4 linked regions of the Arabidopsis thaliana genome follow. The protein of the gene in region 4 interacts with the protein of the main gene of each other region in a biochemical or structural test. Each region holds a gene or a part of one and is shown on either strand. Other genes may lie near its edges.

Region 1 (4,669 bases), on a different chromosome or scaffold from region 4:
AAGTCAATGAATATCTAGTCATTATATTAGTGTTGTTAGTTAGAAGCTAATATTGTTGCTGGTGAGGTGAGAAGTGTGAATATCGTTTGCACCAAACATATTCGTGGACTACAATATAATTAGCTTGAGAACACCGAATTTTCAGAACCCCCTGCATAAGCATAAGATCATGTGATTGTCATATGCAATCATTAGATAACTAACATGAGGAGACTCATCTCAAGTCTTTTTGGCTATCGAAAATCATTTGCTACATAATAGTTAAAAGGAGAGCACACATATTGTGATCCATTCATCTATTTGCATTTAGACTGAAAAGGAAAACTCTTAACAAAAGAACTGAAAACCAAAAAGTTCAAAGAAAAGAAACCCGTAAAAATAATACCACTACTTAAGAAAATCCAAATACAATTAAACTTCAAGAATAAACATCTTTAAAATCATATAAAGCTTTTAACATGACAAGCTTTATATAAATAATGAACGTGGACTGGAATCACGTGTGAGCGAGCAACTTTGGTTTTTACAGTATCTTTCTCTGAAAAGATTGGTGGAAGAAAAAGAAAAGTTGGAGTAATGTATGAGAAAACAACTAAATGTCTCAGAATTCGACCAAAGACTGTTATTTTTATAAATAGTTTTCATGCATGCAATGCAGACAAAGTGGTCCAAGTACACTTTTGATATTTTGCATCTCTTTGCGTAATGAGAGATTCGACTTCTTTGATACGTGTGTGCTTCTCTATGGTCGCATTCTTCCACAGCCTATGTTGCACAGATTTTCTTGGTTTGACTGGATTTTATATACGTAACAACATTGACGATTTTTATTATTCACAGTTTCACACCGACAAAAAATCCACGAATTTTGGGTTCCAACTTGATTTTGACGATACAGTAGAAGGATCATAATTTAACCAGAGGAGCCTTAAGGAGAAAGATGTTTTTAAGGCTTGAGCAGAGTCGAGACAATAAATATTAAGAGCACAGAGGTTTAGTAGAGTAGATAAATCATCAAGCTGTGCACAATCATAATCATCATAAACACTTCAATCTTTTTTCACAGTTTTTGAGCAAAGGTTATGGGGATTTTGAGATCGATTTGGTGGCAGAAACATCGCGTAACAACCCTCCCCCCCTTCATCTAGATCCTCAGGCCTCGTCCATCTGCTCCTGTTACATAGAGTAGTAATAACTCAGCACACACGGTTTTGCGGTTATTTCAGTTTTAACATGTTCTTTGATGTCTCTTATATGATGCATCTGATTGGTCTATGATGGAAACACTAATCACACTAAGATATGATCTTTATAGTTATTCGAATGGTGTAGAATATCGAGGTACGGCATAAAGAGATGTGAATACCTGCATATCGGAGGTCCAAAGGGTTAAATTGTCCCTCAGCAACTGCATTATGAGAGTGCTGTCTTTGTAGGATTCCTCTCCCAGAGTGTCAAGCTCAGCTATGGCCTCCTCAAAAGCCTACAATTAAAAATCCAGTATCAAAATTGAGAATGCCCCCACAGTGAAAAATTTCTGCCGTTTTACTAAATGTCTTATACGTAAGTTCTAGTTGAAACAGAATGAGACATCAGTCCTAGTATTGGACAACATGGATCTTCATCATCATATTAGTCTGTGATTATTAAAAAAGAGGAATTTTGTTAAAAAAGCTGACTCAAAGTGATACTAGATGAAGCACCATGAATCAAAGAGTGGTTCTTTATCTAACAAAACATACTCAGGAGATAAAGGTACAACAGAAATAGTCAACAAGTGGTCAATCCTCTTAGTCAAAACATCAAGCAAGCTCATTCAAAGTGATAAGAAATGATGATACACAGAGGGCCAAAGATTGGTTCTTTACCCAACAATACATCTTAAGAAAAGAAAAAAGTACAACAAGACTAGTCAACAAGTGGTCAATTCTCTTTTGTAATAACATAAAGCAAGAAACAGAAGCAAACTCTCAAGAGACAAACTCAGGTCAACGACTTATATGTTTGTTACCAGAGAGGCAACGGAAAGAGAGAGAAAGAGATGTTCCTAATTGAGGCAAGCAGCGAAAAAGAAAGAAGAAGAGTAACCTGTTTGGCCATGTTACAAGCTTTGTCTGAAGAATTGAGAATCTCATAGTAGAACACTGAGAAATTCAGGGCCAGACCAAGCCTTATCGGATGAGTAGGTGCCATATCCGCAGCTGCGATATCCTTCAAAAAACATCACATCGAAAAATAGACAAAAACATCTCCATCAGTTTGAAGAAAGCAATTTTTACTCTTTAAGACAAAAACTGAAACAAAACAGCAATCTACTTTCTCATGATTTGATAAGCATAGTAGCTCAATTAGAGACCAATTCTAGATCAGGACATAATTACTAGATTTGGAAGCTATTACCAATAGAAGAAATCTCGTAAACAGAGTTCACAAACAAAACTTATCAGCCAAATCAGATTTGGAGAATGAAAATAACCTGAGCTGCTTTGTAAGCGAGCATGGTATCTTCAGCAGCAGTTTTCCTCTCATCACCAGACTTAAACTCAGCCATGTACCGATGATAATCACCTTTCATCTTCAAGTAAAAGACCTTAGACTCACTCGCTCCAGCAGATGGGATCAGATGCGAGTCAAGGAGCTTAAGGATTCCAGAGCAAACAGAAGAAAGCTCAGACTCAACTTTAGATCTGTAATCCTTGACAAGCGACACGTGCTCGTCGTTCTTCCTACTCTCTTCCTTCTGCTCAATCGAAGACACGATCCTCCAGGCGGCGCGTAGAGATCCGATCACGTTTTTGTAAGCAACAGAGAGGAGATTCCTCTCTTCAACGGTGAGCTCTTCCGCTGGAGTAGCGCCTGTAACGAGCTGTTCCATGAATTGAACCATCTCTTCGTAACGCTCCGCCTGCTCGGCGAGCTTCGCCATGTACACATACTGGTCTCTGCCTAATGTCGCCGCCATTAGAGAGAGAAAGAGAGAGATTTGATTTTTTTTTGTTTAATGGGGAAAATTTGAAGAAAATGGGAAAGAGAAAGAGAGAAGAAGAATAAAGGGCAAAGAGTCAGGTGGGCTATTAAAAATAGATGTATATTAAACCCACGCGCAAGTGTGTTCACTTTCGATTATACGACGGCGTTTGATGTTATAGTCTTTCGTAGAGTGAGGAGCGTGGTTTGTGTTGGCGAGTGGGATGGTTGGGAGGGTTTGGGGTTTGTGATAAGAGCGAGTGAATGGACGATAATAGTTTTTTAGTGAGTCAGCTTCTAGTCACTAGTTTTAAAGTCAGAACTCTGATTGGGCCTTTATTAGGCCTAATATGGGCCTTATGAATTCCAATACTTATGAAGTTTGTAATACACACCTTTTTTTTTGTTGTTGCATAAAATGCGAAAACTTTTTCTTAAAGAGAAATAAAGTACATAATTTAAAAGACTAAAGTATATATTCTTTTAATATTAAAGTATATTAACCAAAATGGAAATCAATAGTTAGTAGTAGTGTCGTCTGCAAAGGAAAAAAGTGAAAAATAAAAAGACAAAGTCCGAGAAAGGAGACTTTTTAATACGTTCATGTGGTCAACCGTCACCGTGAGTCCAGAAGGAATTTTTTTTTGCATCGACGGATGGGAACAAGCTCCGTCTCTCGGCCGTTATGTTTTCTTTCGGCCTTTACTTTGGACTTTCACAACTCATTTTTCTTTTTCTTTTTCTCTTTCACAACTCTTTATCACTGCAAAAAACAATAAGGATATGCCTTTTTGATTCTTATCTTGTTATTGTTATATGATGATTTACAGGTTTTAGATGAGATATTTGTGACTCGAATGCAAAGCTTAATCGGGAATTCGTTAAAGGACGAAAATTTGGAGGCACCAAGATTGATAATGGAGCTTCGGTCTATGCTTTTGTAAACGCTATATGGAAAACTGCATACTGTACTACTTGGAGAAGAAGAGAGAAAAAATATGTTGATAGAAACCATACTTTGAACATTCAGCTATAAGAGTTGGGCATGGTGTAGTTAGATTAGTGATGACTCATATGTTCATTTTGGTTCTATTGTTAATAAAATGTATATATATATATATATAAACTCAGCGATCGTTTCAAGTTTCTATAAATCTGATATACAAATTCATCACTGTTGCCACCAAAATAAGAATGAAAGAGAGAAGGGGCGCTTTGGTCAACTGAGCGGTTGTTTGTTTAAAGGGCGGGAAATTGTTTTGAAAGACAAAATATTAAAAAAATATCGTCGCCTGAGAGATTCGAACTCTCGCGGGGAAACCCCATGTACTTAGCAGGCACACGCCTTAACCACTCGGCCAAAGCGACTATGTTGTTTGCTGAAGGATTAGCTACTATATAATGTTGTTTTACATAAGTAAAGCGTGGAGCTTACTCGCGTATGTTGCGCGTACGTATGCGTTGTGCTTGTGGTAAAGTGAAAAACACTTTGTGGTTTGTTTTTCGATTGGTCCAGTTCTCTTCAGTTCTTCTTCTTCTCGTCACAGGAAGAAAAATGTTCTGTTCCTCGCAGCTCTCACAGCCAATGAATGGCCTCAAAGACATAGTTGAGACGAGAAATTTTAAGGTTTGACCTTCAATTTACTGTCTTCTTATGTGCTCTCTGACTTTCTCCTCCTCTTATGACGAGCGAAGCCATTAA
Region 2 (5,623 bases), on a different chromosome or scaffold from region 4:
TTCAGGCCTCTGGAAAGAAAATCAATTCTATAATACTTCAATAACTTTTTAGTAAAACTAACTGGATCAACTGATGAATCATATATCAAAAAAACAAAAAAAAAAACTAACGGAGGTAGACAATAGTTTAGCTGGAATGCTTGAAGAAATGGCAAGAATATGCTTCGAGAAGTTATGATTTATGAAGAGGTTACCTGCAAATTTTTTCATTTCTTTTTGCCGACGGTTGGCTGTTAGTTAGGAAAAAGAATTTTTGTTATAGGATTTTCTCTTCCGTTTCGTACAAACCCAATCATTATTCTCGTCTTTATACTTAACTTTGCCTCTCATTTTCATGTTATCAATCTTTTAAATTAAATATATCGTCAATGACTGTTATGAATAATTAGTTCTTCATTCTCTGCCTTGGTTCGAACCTCAGTCACATGGTGCACGTTATTGTGATTTCCCATACCTCAAGAGTTATTCAAGATCCCTTACAGAAATATATTTATATAATCTTTTATCTAATGTAGTTATTTACAAACATGTATTATCTACCAAAATAAAAAGGGCTAAAAGCTTCTTGAGTGAGACCGCTTTTGGTTCGATTCATTTTCCTACACTCCAATAGTATTACACTATTGTATATAACAAGAATCGTGGGATTTGTTTAATCCGTACAATGAAACAAGAAAGATATACAATAACTTAATATCATTTTTTTTTGGGGACAATCTTAATATCATTTCTAATTTCTATAGAACCAAAAACACTCATAACAACTTAAACTTTGTTTTTTGTGAGAAAAATAACAACTTAATTACTAGTTACTACATTGACAATTTAACATCTTCAGCTAAAACCGAATGTATATGAACATTTATAATCTAGTTGCTATTGTATATACGATTGGATAATACGCATATCGACATTTAAATAATTGAGCCTGAAGATAATTCACAAATATGCAATGTAAATCCGTCCATACAGCCAAAAGTATGTATGTCCCATGCATAATTGAACAAAAAGAAATTATATTAATATTATTTTTGTTGTCTTCTGCAAATGCTAGGACTGCTATCATTATCATCATTGATTTTAATATTGATGTTTCCAGAAAAATAAATAAACAAATATAAAGAAAAAAACAAACACAATAAGTAAAGCTACACTATTAGGTAATAATTAAAGCTCATTTTTAAGTCTAAAATTTTAATTATAAAATAAAAACATTAAAAAGTTAAGACCCAAAGAAACATAAATGCTTTTTTCTTTCATCAATGTCAAAAAAGAAGTTTTCCCACCAAATGGTCAAACTTGGATCTTTGACAATATTGTTCCAATTTCATCATGCCCTATCTTTTCTATTTATACACATACCTTAGATATAATTATTAAACCCAAAATTTGTGTTAAGAAAAAAAATAGACCCAAAATTTGTGTTAAGAAAAAAAATAGACCCAAAATTTGGAATATATATATAAGTCACCGCTGGAAAAAAAATTATTGCAAGTAATTTCTTATATGAAATTGGAATGATAATATTTTGATCAAGTATCCATTACTAAAATTTTACAACGCTAGATAACGAGATTGCTTGAAGTCGAACTTGTGAACAAATTATAATAATGTAAAACTAACTTGTATTGACTAATCTTTGATTTTTTTTACAATAATGAGTGATATTACATTCATTTTATTAACTAAATACAACGAATATGATAAATATTCAGTCCTCTTATAAACTTTATGATAGTGAAAATTTGAGACATTGACAATTCTAGCATTCTAACATTTTATGAGATTACATGAAATGTCAATTTAGACCTTAAACCAAACGAATACATGATTCAAATTTGACCGACAAGTACATGATGCCTTCCCTTTGATCACGAAATTTCCACAAAGAGTCCGTGTCTGCGTAATTAACCAGCAATTTCAAGGGTGTTTACGTAATTGTAGCTTAACAAATAAAAAACACGAAAGAAGATGGCGAAGAAAACGGAAAGTAGTAGATAGATAAAGAAAGAGAAAGAGAAGAGCTGGATTCACATGGTCTTGTTCTTTCTCTCTCCTTCTTTTCTCATCTTGCGGCTTCCCTTTCTCTCTCTATCGCCACAATGATCATTACCAACCAAACTGATTGAAACTCATTTGTTCTCTCTCTCTCAAATCCACTCTCTCTCTTTCTTTTCTCTTCTCCTCTCTGTGTCTCTATCGCCATGGCTGATGATAAGGTAAAGCTGCTTGTGTTCCTTTTGCTGTCTTTTGAAGAAGAAGATCCTGTTTTTTGGTTTTTCCACATTTGACCCTTCAATTAGTTGTCTTGAGATTCCTGTTCTTACAGATGTTTTGTGATAATAAATCTAGTTTAGTTAGTACTCTTGAAGTTGAACGGTTTTGAGTTCTGGGTTTGTCCAAAGTTTTGAGCTTTCGTTAACTTTTTGACTTACCCTGAGATCTCTGAGGGTTTTGAGTTCTGAGCTTAGAATTTTCTAAGTTAGCTCTGTTGGGATGATCCATGTCTATATATCTCGATCTGTGATTAATCCAGAGTTTATACAAGCTGCTAGATCCATAATTGAACATAGATTAGTCCTTGTTTGGTTTGTTATATGTATTTGTTTTGTTTACCATTCTTTTGGCGTGACAAAAGTATATATTTTTAGTTTTAACTAAATCAGATTCACTCTGCGTAACGGTTATTTTGTAACCACTCTTTTAGGATAAAAGTTTCCTTCTTTAGACTTTTGATTCTCAGACAAGCATTATTCTTTTAGCTTTTGATAATGGTTTTGTGCTGATATTAAAGCTTTTCTCTTTCAGGAGATGCCTGCTGCTGTAGTTGATGGACATGATCAAGTCACTGGTCATATTATTTCCACCACAATCGGTGGCAAAAATGGTGAACCAAAACAGGTATTTTTAAGGCTTTTAACCAAATAGACTCACTTTTATGTATATGCAAGATTTTGATGGTTACCAATACATTTTTCTATGTTGTTGTTAGACAATTAGTTACATGGCGGAGCGAGTTGTTGGTACAGGCTCGTTCGGGATCGTTTTCCAAGCAAAATGTTTGGAGACTGGAGAAACCGTGGCGATAAAGAAGGTTTTGCAAGATAGAAGATACAAGAACCGAGAACTTCAGTTGATGCGTGTGATGGATCATCCGAATGTGGTTTGTTTGAAGCATTGCTTCTTTTCGACTACAAGTAAAGACGAGCTTTTCTTGAACTTGGTTATGGAGTATGTCCCTGAGAGCTTGTATCGAGTTCTGAAACATTATAGTAGTGCAAACCAAAGAATGCCTCTTGTCTATGTTAAACTTTACATGTATCAGGTAATAACAACACACATTCATATCTTCCATTTCCAAAGTTGATGTACATAAGATTGTTCTTAGGCTGATATTACTTCCTTTTGTTATGTTAGATCTTCCGGGGACTTGCTTACATTCACAATGTTGCTGGAGTTTGTCACAGAGATCTAAAGCCTCAAAATCTTCTGGTATGTGTAACATTTTAAGATTGAACTCTTTGTTTTTTTTCTTGCCTTTGTTTCTTTCGTTCTTAATGTATCTCTTCTGGTCTCTTTCTATAGGTTGATCCTCTTACTCATCAAGTCAAAATCTGTGACTTTGGCAGTGCGAAACAGCTCGTAAGACTTTGTGACATATAAACTCATTCGACTTGTAGCGGTTGTTGTTTTCTGTGATCTTGTCATTTACTGTTGAAATTTACTTTTGCTTCAGGTTAAAGGTGAAGCCAACATTTCTTACATCTGCTCACGATTCTACCGTGCACCCGAGCTCATATTTGGTGCCACTGAGTACACAACTTCTATTGATATCTGGTCTGCTGGTTGTGTTCTTGCTGAGCTTCTTCTTGGTCAGGTAAACAATTCTTTCAGTAACCAGCTTATTCAATCTCCATGTGTATATTTGCATTAGGACTCATTGTGACTATATCATGTTCTTATGCAGCCATTATTTCCCGGAGAAAATGCTGTGGATCAGCTCGTTGAAATTATAAAAGTAAGAATCTTTAAACGATGATTCCTTGCAAATTACATTCTTTGGCTACAAAATCCTCACTGTATAGTTGTTGTACACAGGTTCTTGGTACACCAACTCGAGAAGAAATCCGTTGTATGAATCCACATTACACAGATTTCAGGTTTCCACAGATAAAGGCACATCCCTGGCACAAGGTTAGTGTCTTTTCTCTTTTTGCATGTGTTCTTGTTTCAGTTTCTTTCTTCACACATCAACTGATCATAATTACGTTTTGGTTTAGATCTTCCACAAAAGGATGCCCCCAGAAGCGATTGATTTTGCATCAAGGCTGCTTCAATACTCTCCAAGTCTAAGATGCACAGCGGTAAGCATTGGTCTTGAGGTTTCTTCAGTCTCTAAGAATCCAACTGAATCCTTACTATATATTTTGTTTCCTCGTATTTCAGCTCGAAGCTTGTGCACATCCGTTCTTTGATGAACTCAGAGAACCAAACGCTCGTTTACCAAATGGACGGCCTTTCCCGCCTCTCTTCAACTTCAAACAAGAAGTAGCTGGATCATCACCTGAACTGGTCAACAAGTTGATTCCAGACCATATCAAGAGACAATTGGGTCTAAGCTTCTTGAATCAATCTGGAACTTAAAAGGGATCCTGCAAAAGACAACTACTTTTTTATATATAATGTACCATTACACGAGCCACAAGGTCGTAGTTGAAGGCAAACGTGGAGGACACAATTCAAAGTTTTTCCTCCTCAAACTCGTTCAGACAAAGCCAGCTGCTAGCAAAACCAACTCCCCCAAATCTGCGAAAACAAAAACTCTCCAGTGTTGTATCTGCTTATTTCTCTTCTCTTTTCAAGTTTGGTGAAAAACACAGTCTCCTCTTTGCTTCATTTCTTCTTTCTTTCCCCCTTATGTAAATGAGTTTAGTCAGAAGTTTTTTTATATAGTAAAGTTTGGGCAGAAGGTGAAGAATGTAATCAAAGTGATACTCTTTCAACGAGGAGCTTCTTTCAAACACTTTTTTTTTTTTTCAAACACTTCATGAATGGATACATGGTTTTGCTTTAAGCATAAGTATATTTGTATTAAATTTTCACTCAATTTAATTGCACGAATCATTACAAAAATAATATCTCGCTACTCATATAAATACCCTATAAATAAATAAGTGAATTTTTTTTATCTCTCATGGAAATTTGATTTATGTATTTATATGTTTTAAGATTCGAAGAAATTTTTAAATAATGAAAATTTACAAATATATAATTCTTAATTCAGAATTTCAGATATTGAATTACTTATTGGATTTTTAAAACAAAAAGAAAATTACATGACTTTTTTTTTCTTTTTTTTTTTTAAATATCTGTTAGTTCAAGTTAAAAGACCATACATTTTCTAAAGGCGGGACCTATATCAGGTTAAATTCATCTCCTTTTAGAAAAAAAATATATTTGGGAAAGGCTTTGATAGCAAGCAATTAAAGTATCCGAAACTAACAAAACCTATCTGGTCTTGGACTCTTAGTCTTTATATAAACAACATCAGATAGATCGAGAGACCATACGCAACAATTTACTAATTTCTCTTCTCCTTCGTTGCTTTTGAAACCCTAGTTAT
Region 3 (4,859 bases), on a different chromosome or scaffold from region 4:
AAAATATCATGTACTAATTACACATAAACTATACATCTAGACCAGGTTATAGACTTTAATATATATCTCCTATGAGAGTCTACGAGACTACACGAGGGTTTGTTTAACATTAATAAGTTACATACGCCTGCAATTAGAAAATACTAAACATTTCTAAAGATTAAAACATCGGATCTAAAAGTTGATGTGTCGATCTAAATAAATATTTACTATATTCTTCACCACAATTCATAAACTTTGGCTTTTCGATATGATTACAGCCAATGAGAAATTAGTTAAAAATATGAGCCAAAATTGTTAAATCACACTCCACTAAAAAAAGTATCAAAACCTTTTTCATGAAATTATCGCTTAGTAGTTAGTACTCTTTGTAACAATAGTTATAACTCACTATCATCCCTTTCTCTTTCTCAACTTTACTTTATAAAATAAACCTCATTAACAAATTAGAAATATCTAAATTCACTAATTATTAGTTTATTACTGTTCATACTTAGTGAAGTCGATAAAAAAAAATTATTTTGCCAAGAAATTGAGATTAATAAAACTTGATATTAATTTTTTTTTAAATGAGATTAAAACATAGTTTTAGTTTAAAATTCATAAAGATAATTTATTAATAAATACAAACTCAGCCTATTAAAAATTGATCCCAAAAAGGCATAAATTAAAAATGACCTACCAAAACGATATATATAAGAATTTTAAACAAGTGAACGAAAATAAATAAAATAAACAAAAGGCAAAACGGTTCGATTCAGTTCGGTTTAGGTCTTGGTCCGAACATATGTCATCACCGGTCCACTGATCTCAATCTCAAATTCACTCGACTCGACTCCACCACCGTCGTATGCTTCGAGTCAAACTCAGTACGCCGCCGTCGAGAGTTTCCAAGCGGAGGTGGTAATGAGTGGACGAGTGTGCCAACCCAACATCAAACATCCATTACTCTCCTCCACACGATAACCTTGGCCACTATTAAACACAGACAAAAGCATACTCGCTTGCTTAAACGCGTTAGACCCAAGATGTGCCGGCGCTAAACCGGACGAACCAAACCGGTTTCCCCATTGACTCAACGTTTCGTGTCTCTCGACTCTGTCAGGACCTTCACAAGCCACCAGATTACAAATCTGTTTCCCTAAGTAAACTTCAGACATGACTTTGTCTTGACTATTCGGAACTCCTTCCAACGAATCAAACAGAGTCGAATAATAATGTAACGATTCAGTAAACCGGTCTAAGAAAACCGGTCCGTTATGGTTCGATTCTTGCTCAACCACCGTGAAAATCACCGGTTTAATCTGTTTCACAACGCCGAGAACTTTCTCTATCCCACCGGGACGACCTAAGAGCTTATGTAGCTCAAAAACAGAGTTCACCGCAACAGCTTCCGTATCGCTCGGTCTAAGCTCAAGCATCGAAGCATCGAGATCGGCTAAGCTGTTAGCAACGAATCCACGGTATTCGAATTCTACGTGAATCGCCTCCGCAAGCTGAGCTAATTTACAACCAACTTCATGAAGATGATCAGAATTATCCGGCGCCGGTGGACCAATTCCGGTTAACCGGAAAGTTGGAGGACCTCCTTCTCGAAGCGCAAGAGCTTGCATAAGTGCAGGCCATTGAAGACCTTGGTTCATCGAGAAATCAATGACGTGTACTCTCTTCTTACCTTCAAAAGCTTCGAGAATCGCTTGGTTCGCCGTGAAGTGAGCGAATTTAAGATAAGGACAAGTCTCGTAAAAGTGCATCTGAAGAGTATCGGAGAGACAATGATCGATCTGATTCTGCGGCGGAGAGAGACGGTAGATCCGCCGCGCTAAAGCTTCGGCGAAGTAAGTAGCCACTTTTCTCATAGCTCCGGCTTGAGACACAGCTAAGCATCCGATTTGCTTCACAAGAGCTTCCGCTAGAGTCAAATTGTTCTGCTGGATTGCTTCTGCACAAGCCATAAGCGCGTGGACTAAACGAACACCGTTCTCTTGCGAGTCAACCAGGATAACAGAACGAGTTGACTCACCCGCCGCCGTCGTTGTCGTGGTGGTTGTCGTCACCGTCGTTCCTATGACTCCACCAATCTGCGTACCCGTCGAAGTCGATGTAACCATAGAATCAGGACTCGAGCATGATTTCAAACGCTTGTTCTGATTATTCGACGAAGACGAAGAATCAATCGCCGGAAACTGATAAATCGCGTTTCCGGGAATGACTTTAAGGTCATAATCCGAAGCCGGAAAACCACAAATCTCCGGCGAAGGAAGAACCGGATCTAAACCGTTAGAACTCGCCGGAAGAGGAGGAGGATTAAGCTCAGAGAGCATATTATCAAGCCAAGAATAAAGCTCCGACGGATTATAATGAACAGTATCCGTCGCGAGATGAGATAAACCATCTTCTTGAACATTACTCATCATCGTCTCTAATTGTTCGAGTTTCAAAGCAACCTCCGCCATCTCCGATGACCTAACTTTGTAACCTAAAACAGCGAGAAGCTCGTCGTCCATGTTACCTCCACCGTCTTCTTCTTTTTTCACCATCATCATCTTATCTTTAGAGATTGATGATGATGAAGAAGAAGTCCCGTGGTTGGACAATCGACCTTGGAATTGGTGATGATCTCTCTTCATTTTTCAGCTATGAGTTTCGATTAGATTAGGTCTGATCTTGGATCTAGGGTTTTGCCTTTTTTTTAGTTTGTGTGTGTTTGGGGATGATGAAGGAAGAAGAAGAAGGAACATGTGACTTCTCTATGTGAAGAATCTTAAGAGCAAATGGGTTTGGGATTGGATTGCTTTTGTTTTTCACTGCTACTACCACTTCAATCATCATTCATACCAGAACTAATAATAATAATTTCTCAAAATAATAATAAAAAAATTTCTCAAAAAATATTTATTTTATTTACCAGAAAATATAAATTTATTAAAATAAAAAGATATTTATTCTGGATGAAAATTAAAAAAAGAAAAGAAAAAGAATGGTGGTGATGGGGCTCGACGACCAATGAATAATGTACCAGAAAGAGTAACATACATACACATCTAAAGTGATAAGGCTGTGAAATTACAACACACATTACTAATTTTATTTTTATTTTCATATACGTAAAAAAAAATAAAGTGTGTAAAAACATTTAGAATTTCTGTATATTTGAAGTGATATTTACATTCATTGTGATGTGTATTTTTTTGTTTTGATTTACAAGATCTGATGGAGTAATATAAAAAATTGTGGATCTACTGAATAGATATATTATGAGTTTGTTTTTTTAACTATATAATAATTTTAGTTTAATTGATGAAGAAAGTAATTACAAGTCTAAGAGAATCATTAAACTTTTGTCAAATCTATAAAATAGGAGATTTAGGGCTTTTTAGTTGATTCTTTTGATGGAAGAACTGAAGATGCTCTTTTTCAGAGGATAATTAAATTCAACTTAAAAAGCTGAACTCACTTCATGATAGCATGATACTGTTTTACTTCCCAGTTTCTTTATGGTAATAATAATTTAACCATATGTCTTGGATGTAAAAAAATAATGATATATAATCACATTTTGAATTGTAAGAGATTATTATTTTATTTTTTCCAACAAGTTGTTTGAAGCTCAGCCATCGAAAACATAAATCTAAAATTGCGTATGATCAGATAAAAGAATAGTAAATTTTGGTTTTAACAAAAGTACAGTACTAGTAATTTTACAGTAACTTTAAGTCCTACAGGTTCAGTTTATGTACAAAAAAAAATCTCTAAAAGGGATTCTATAATTGGGTATTGAAAAATCATCGGACCAATGTATTTTCAATTTTCGAGTTCTCTTTTATAGAAGTAACTTTCAAGTATTAAACGTTAATTAGGTCATATTTTTTCTTCTAATTTCCAAGATGCATATAATTTTAAAAGCTTTCATAATAATAATAAATATATATCGAGATTTCAGATGTTGTATCTTCGATCTTTTTAACTTGACAAAGTTAACTTAGGCTTATGCTAATCTACTGTTACTGTCAAAGTCTAAATAAAAAATATAACTAGCCACTTAAAACTTACGAAAACAACAAAAACTAAATAAAACACGAATGAAAACATTAAATTTAATGATATTTGATGACAATATTAAAGTTCCGACTATATAAAAAAATCATCAAGCAAACAAAACCTAATAGTGTAATATTACTAAGCATTCATAGCTCGAAATACAATTAATTAAAGGCAAAAAAAATGGTGTGACAAGAAAACCCGTTTTTAAGCATAACAGCCGGCGTCCGTCGACGTCAAATCATTCAAAGAGATTCCCGTTACATTGCTTAACGCCGTCATTAACGGCCTCTTTCTATCAACTGTATTAAAAAGAAAAGAATATATTCATTTGTATCCTTCAGGAAACTCAAACTGACAGCACGTGATGGATCCACGTGTTAATGGGTCCCACAATATAGCTTTCAATAACTATACGCGGTTGGAACTTTTGTGGTCTCTACTAAAATTCATGAGATTTGAACACGTGTCCTATTATTATTAGATCTAAAACGGTAGGGACCGAGTCTGCTTCCTTCATCTTGACGGCCGTTTTTACGGATCCGTTTTTTTTAATTTCATCTCTATCCATTTGTTACATGTTATATTGTCATGTTACGTCACTTTCTTTAACTATTTATCATTAAATTCACTTTTTTTTTTTTTTTTTTTTTGGGTTCATATTAATTTTGTTATTTCTTCCATGCAAAACCATGGTTTTGTTTCTGTACATAATATTTTTAAAAATGTTATATTTTAAGTCTTCTCCATTTTTTATAAACATATTTTTCAGTGATAACTCAAATATCCATAACTTTTCCACAATTTCTAGCAAACAT
Region 4 (4,815 bases):
ATTCACTGTATTACTTGTCTTGTCTTGGTTGTGAAGATTTAGATTTTGTAAAAACGAAATTGAAACAAAAAAGAAAGGAGTGGATACGTTTGGTTAATTTGTATGAAACATTTTGGGTACTAATTTGTATTGGAATCTGAGATTGATGCTTTTAGAGGGTTTTAAAATGATCAAAAAAGGAAAACGAGGGCCACACTTCGTAAATTTTGTGTAATGTCTACACGCGATCGACGTGAATATGAATGGTTGACTGGGTTTTTTCAAAATAAAAAAAAAGTCAGGAGTTATGGGGCCCATGCATGCGTAAGTTACGATTATACCCCTATTGTTTATTTGTTTTCGTTCCTCTCCAATGTAATTTGAATTTGAAATCACGCCTCTATTAAATATGTCATCGTATAATGTCCATATTGAACATTTAACTAAACTAAAACAATGTTCATGGAGTGATTCTTAAGCCAACATTTTTTCTTGTTCAAGACATAGCATTTTGTAAGTTTGATGGTTTAAAGTAATGTACTTATTGTCCAAAACGAGTTAGCTAGGTAACATGGAGTTAATCGGAAAAACAGAACATATTTCCAAAAAAAACATACTTAACACATAATCTACTTATTATCACAAGTAGGTTACTAGTGCCAAACCAAAGAAGAAAACCCCTAAATTCCTTTTAATGCTAGAAACGAAAGCTGGTATTAAGATTTAACTGATGATTTAAAACGTATCACCAATAATTAACACATAATCGCTCGATTAGCAACAAAGTCGTTGTAGTATAGTGGTAAGTATTCCCGCCTGTCACGCGGGTGACCCGGGTTCGATCCCCGGCAACGGCGATTACTTTAGTTTTGCCTAATTCATCGAACCCTCTGATTCATTCCAAATGTTTCCCAACTCGCGTTGATGGTTCGGGTTCCTCTGCTTTTAAGACATTAGTTACATGCTCCTGCACTTTCTACAAAATAAACGTCATAATCCAAAAATATTACATGATCATACATCATATATGCCGCCGAACCTTGTTATGGGACAAACTCGTAAACCCCTTTTTCCTTTTATGTTCAATGAACTATACAAGTTTTGGTTATGAATACATAAATAATGATGGACCCAGCAATTAATCCAAAATTTGGATATTAGATACTAAAGCTTAAAATCAACATGTAACCAAACTAAATACTTTATAGAACATAGTAAATGGTATTCACCAATCTTTATATCATTTGTAAGGTACGAAGAAGGTAAAAAAAAGAGAGAGCCAGTGTACATACAACTAATCAGGACAAAAGTAGTCAAAATTGTTTCTAAAGTGAGATTTGTATGCAAGAAAAAAGTGATAATTTTTAATTGAATATATCATTATGATGTTAATCACACGGCTTCACTGTATAAAATAAAATTTTAAAAACCAATCAAATGGTGTGTTTTTCGGTCACACAAGTAAGGGACCCACACTGAAGAAACGGTCCCACTGTGTCTCCTCCTTTCTTTTCTCTGTATTATTTGGTCATTACTCATTTTACATACTCACAGAAAAAAAAAAAGATTAGAACATAAACACACGTTACTAAGCGTAGTTATCCTCTGCACCTTAACATACACCTCTTATATTCACCTCACGTAATCTCACCCTTCCAAAACCATGTATTTACACGTGGACGATCGATACACAAGAACAATGATTCTTAATATGAACTCAATGTACTTGAACACACACACGACCCAATTTTTACATTAGATGAAAAAAATATTATTATTTGTTGGAGAAGAAAGAGAGATTCTTCTTCTTCGATTCCAGCGAAGGAAAAGCGTATTCCTCGTGAGCACTAACTTCTCACTCCTCTCTTCTTCTTCTTCATCAGTCTACGTTCACACAATCTTTCACCCACCTATTCAAAGCTCTCTCCGGAAGTTTCGAGGGGTTGGTTGTTGGTTTTCCCGATGACTTCGGATGGAGCTACGTCGACATCAGCAGCTGCAGCTGCGGCGGCGGCAGCAGCGGCGAGGAGGAAGCCGTCGTGGAGAGAAAGGGAGAATAATCGGAGGAGAGAAAGACGGAGAAGAGCTGTAGCTGCGAAGATATACACTGGGCTTAGAGCTCAAGGTGATTATAATTTGCCTAAACATTGTGATAATAATGAAGTCCTTAAAGCTCTTTGTGTTGAAGCTGGTTGGGTTGTTGAAGAAGATGGTACTACTTATCGCAAGGTGAAGACTTTCTCCATTTTTTCCAGATCTGAGCTTGTTTTATTGATGTTTTTGATGTTTGAATCTGAATTCGTTGATTTCAATTGTGGTTAAATGGGTTTGAATCTGAGAATTTGAGGGTTTTCTCAAAGTGAATTTGAATCATCAGAAACTATGGATGGATCTGATTTCTCAAAGTGAATTTATGGGTTTTCTTTCTAATTTTAGAGTTATTATTGGTATGCTAAAGTCTTAATCTTTTATGTATGATACTTGGTCCAAAGTCATTGCATTGTGTTTCTTTTGCTTACCTGTGATTGATTGATGTTTGATTGGTTATTGTTTTGCTTTTGTTGGAGTATCAGGGATGCAAGCCTTTACCTGGTGAGATAGCTGGGACTTCATCTCGAGTAACTCCATATTCATCACAGAACCAGAGCCCTCTTTCATCAGCCTTTCAAAGTCCCATCCCATCTTACCAAGTTAGCCCGTCTTCTTCATCATTCCCGAGTCCTTCTCGCGGTGAACCAAATAACAACATGTCCTCTACATTCTTCCCTTTCCTCAGAAATGGTGGCATTCCTTCTTCTCTTCCTTCCCTCAGAATCTCAAACAGTTGTCCAGTTACCCCACCGGTCTCATCGCCGACTTCTAAGAACCCGAAACCGTTGCCTAACTGGGAATCTATCGCTAAGCAATCCATGGCCATTGCTAAACAATCAATGGCGTCTTTTAATTATCCTTTCTATGCGGTTTCTGCACCTGCTAGTCCGACACATCGCCACCAGTTTCATACCCCGGCTACTATACCTGAATGTGATGAGTCTGACTCTTCCACTGTTGATTCTGGTCATTGGATAAGCTTTCAGAAGTTTGCACAACAACAGCCATTCTCTGCCTCTATGGTGCCAACCTCTCCTACCTTCAATCTTGTGAAACCTGCGCCTCAGCAGATGTCTCCAAATACTGCTGCCTTCCAAGAGATTGGTCAAAGCTCTGAGTTTAAATTTGAGAATAGCCAAGTTAAACCCTGGGAAGGAGAGAGGATACATGATGTGGGTATGGAGGATCTTGAGCTTACACTTGGAAATGGGAAGGCTCGTGGTTGACATAAACAACTAGGCAAACCCAAATGGCATGTCATTGGAATATGAGAAACTAATCCTCTTGAGTATTTTCTTCTTCGTCCAGGTATTTGGATCTTTATGGAATCTCATATGTTCTTCACTTATTATCCAAATATGCTGCCCAAAGCCTTCTCCATGGAAGCATTGGAGTGTTAGAGTGGTTATTCAATTCATGAATTTGGTTTCAAAAGCATTATTTGTAGATAAAAAAATCTTAAGATGTATGATTCTGTTTCCTTACATATGTTACATTAATTAGTGGCTTGAAACTGTCTTGTGTCTTGTCAAATTGCTTAGTCATATATCATTTCTTGAGCCGATTCTGTCTCTTAGCATCAAGATCCAAAATTTGCAAAAACATTTGCTTTTACAAAATGTTAAATTCTTTATTTCCCTGCAATCAATCTTTTGGTCAAACACTAACACATCATCAAATATCTAGTTAGACAAAGCTAGCTAGGATAGTAGCATAATCAATGAACACAGCTAGCTACAAATGGTACATTCCATAACGAATACAAACACTGGTCACTCATCTTCTTAATAGTCCAATCCCTGTTTCTGATCAAACAAGTAATGGAGAATGCAGATCCAGTTTGGTTTCAGTCTCATGGCTTTTTGTTTCTCTCTCAGTCTCAACATTACATTCTTGGTATCTGAAACAAGCTGTGAGATGATCATTAACAATGCCAGAGGCCTGCAAGAAGGAATACATAACAGTAGGACCAACGCAGCGAAACCCTCTCTGCATCATATCTTTGCTAATGTACTCTGCCTTTGGGGACTTAACCGGTACTTGACGACCATATCGATAGCCATTTCTTAATGGCTTGTGGTTCACAAATCTCCAACAATAATTACTGAACGATCCAAATTCCTGCTTGACCTGTTTTCAGATTACAACCAAAGCTATTTCAGTAAACACATAGTATCTACAATTTCATAGCAAAACACACAGTGCCTACCTTGAGAACAGATTTCGCGTTCTCTACAATTGCTCGCAGTTTCTGTTCGGATAGAATTAGACACCCATTAACTCTAAGAGACATCAACCTCTTCTCTGTGAATTGTGCTATAGCTGAAGGATCAAACTCTTCAAAGAGCTTCCTACAAAAAAGAAACCAAAACTTCTGATATCACACCAAACCAAAACACAAAATAGCAAATTCACCGTCCTAAGTTTACCTAAAGTCGTCTCTTCTGCGTAGGATTGAAGGCCAGCTAAACTCAGCCAAAGCTTGTGAGAAGACAAGTAGCTCGAAGAGTTTCTTGTCATCACGAACTGGAACACCCCATTCCTCGTCGTGGAACAAAACATAGATCGGGTCTGTTTGATCAATCACCATTATTATTATTAACTGAAAAACTTACATATCCAATGTCATCAATCATCTTCTACATTTTTTTTTGTCCTTATTTATCAACTACAATACCTAGTTTTTGCTAGGTGCAATTAATGTGTTGTTGACATCTATGAAAACTGATTGTAACCTTTATTAAC

The links.
Region 1: the proteins of BZR1 (region 4) and GRF6 form a complex in vitro, tested with the Arabidopsis thaliana proteins (one study listed by BioGRID).
Region 2: of the proteins of BZR1 (region 4) and BIN2, one has a biochemical effect on the other in vitro, tested with the Arabidopsis thaliana proteins (3 studies listed by BioGRID).
Region 3: the proteins of BZR1 (region 4) and RGA1 form a complex in vitro, tested with the Arabidopsis thaliana proteins (2 studies listed by BioGRID).

What each region holds. Positions count from the first base shown.
Region 1 is NC_003076.8:3,283,300-3,287,968, forward strand, and holds GRF6 (G-box regulating factor 6), read right to left. Parts: upstream 3,049-4,669; 5' UTR 2,963-3,048; coding exon 2,477-2,962; intron 2,212-2,476; coding exon 2,089-2,211; intron 1,484-2,088; coding exon 1,367-1,483; coding exon of another isoform or gene 1,316-1,366; exon of another isoform or gene 1,273-1,315; coding exon 1,177-1,272; 3' UTR 1,174-1,176; coding exon of another isoform or gene 1,153-1,173; 3' UTR 554-1,152; downstream 1-553. Other genes in the region: AT5G10460 (Haloacid dehalogenase-like hydrolase (HAD) superfamily protein), read left to right, coding at 4,523-4,594. UniProt on the Arabidopsis thaliana protein: Is associated with a DNA binding complex that binds to the G box, a well-characterized cis-acting DNA regulatory element found in plant genes. Specific negative regulator of slow-vacuolar (SV) ion channel.
Region 2 is NC_003075.7:10,294,270-10,299,892, forward strand, and holds BIN2 (Protein kinase superfamily protein), read left to right. Parts: upstream 1-1,868; 5' UTR 1,869-2,204; coding exon 2,205-2,219; intron 2,220-2,256; exon of another isoform or gene 2,257-2,808; coding exon 2,809-2,901; intron 2,902-2,992; coding exon 2,993-3,325; intron 3,326-3,417; coding exon 3,418-3,492; intron 3,493-3,585; coding exon 3,586-3,642; intron 3,643-3,736; coding exon 3,737-3,877; intron 3,878-3,967; coding exon 3,968-4,018; intron 4,019-4,098; coding exon 4,099-4,194; intron 4,195-4,280; coding exon 4,281-4,364; intron 4,365-4,446; coding exon 4,447-4,644; 3' UTR 4,645-5,120; downstream 5,121-5,623. UniProt on the Arabidopsis thaliana protein: Negative regulator in brassinosteroid signal transduction pathway important for plant growth. May be also involved in auxin signaling pathway. Phosphorylates and increases the degradation of BZR1 and BZR2/BES1 by the proteasome.
Region 3 is NC_003071.7:254,715-259,573, forward strand, and holds RGA1 (GRAS family transcription factor family protein), read right to left. Parts: upstream 2,855-4,859; 5' UTR 2,631-2,854; coding exon 867-2,630; 3' UTR 533-866; downstream 1-532. UniProt on the Arabidopsis thaliana protein: Probable transcriptional regulator that acts as a repressor of the gibberellin (GA) signaling pathway. Probably acts by participating in large multiprotein complexes that repress transcription of GA-inducible genes.
Region 4 is NC_003070.9:28,183,768-28,188,582, forward strand, and holds BZR1 (Brassinosteroid signaling positive regulator (BZR1) family protein), read left to right. Parts: upstream 1-1,736; 5' UTR 1,737-1,941; coding exon 1,942-2,208; intron 2,209-2,552; coding exon 2,553-3,296; 3' UTR 3,297-3,378; exon of another isoform or gene 3,379-3,643; intron 3,644-3,679; exon of another isoform or gene 3,680-3,879; coding exon of another isoform or gene 3,880-4,200; 3' UTR 4,201-4,279; downstream 4,280-4,815. Other genes in the region: AT1G75090 (DNA glycosylase superfamily protein), read right to left, coding at 3,880-4,200, 4,280-4,421, 4,500-4,641.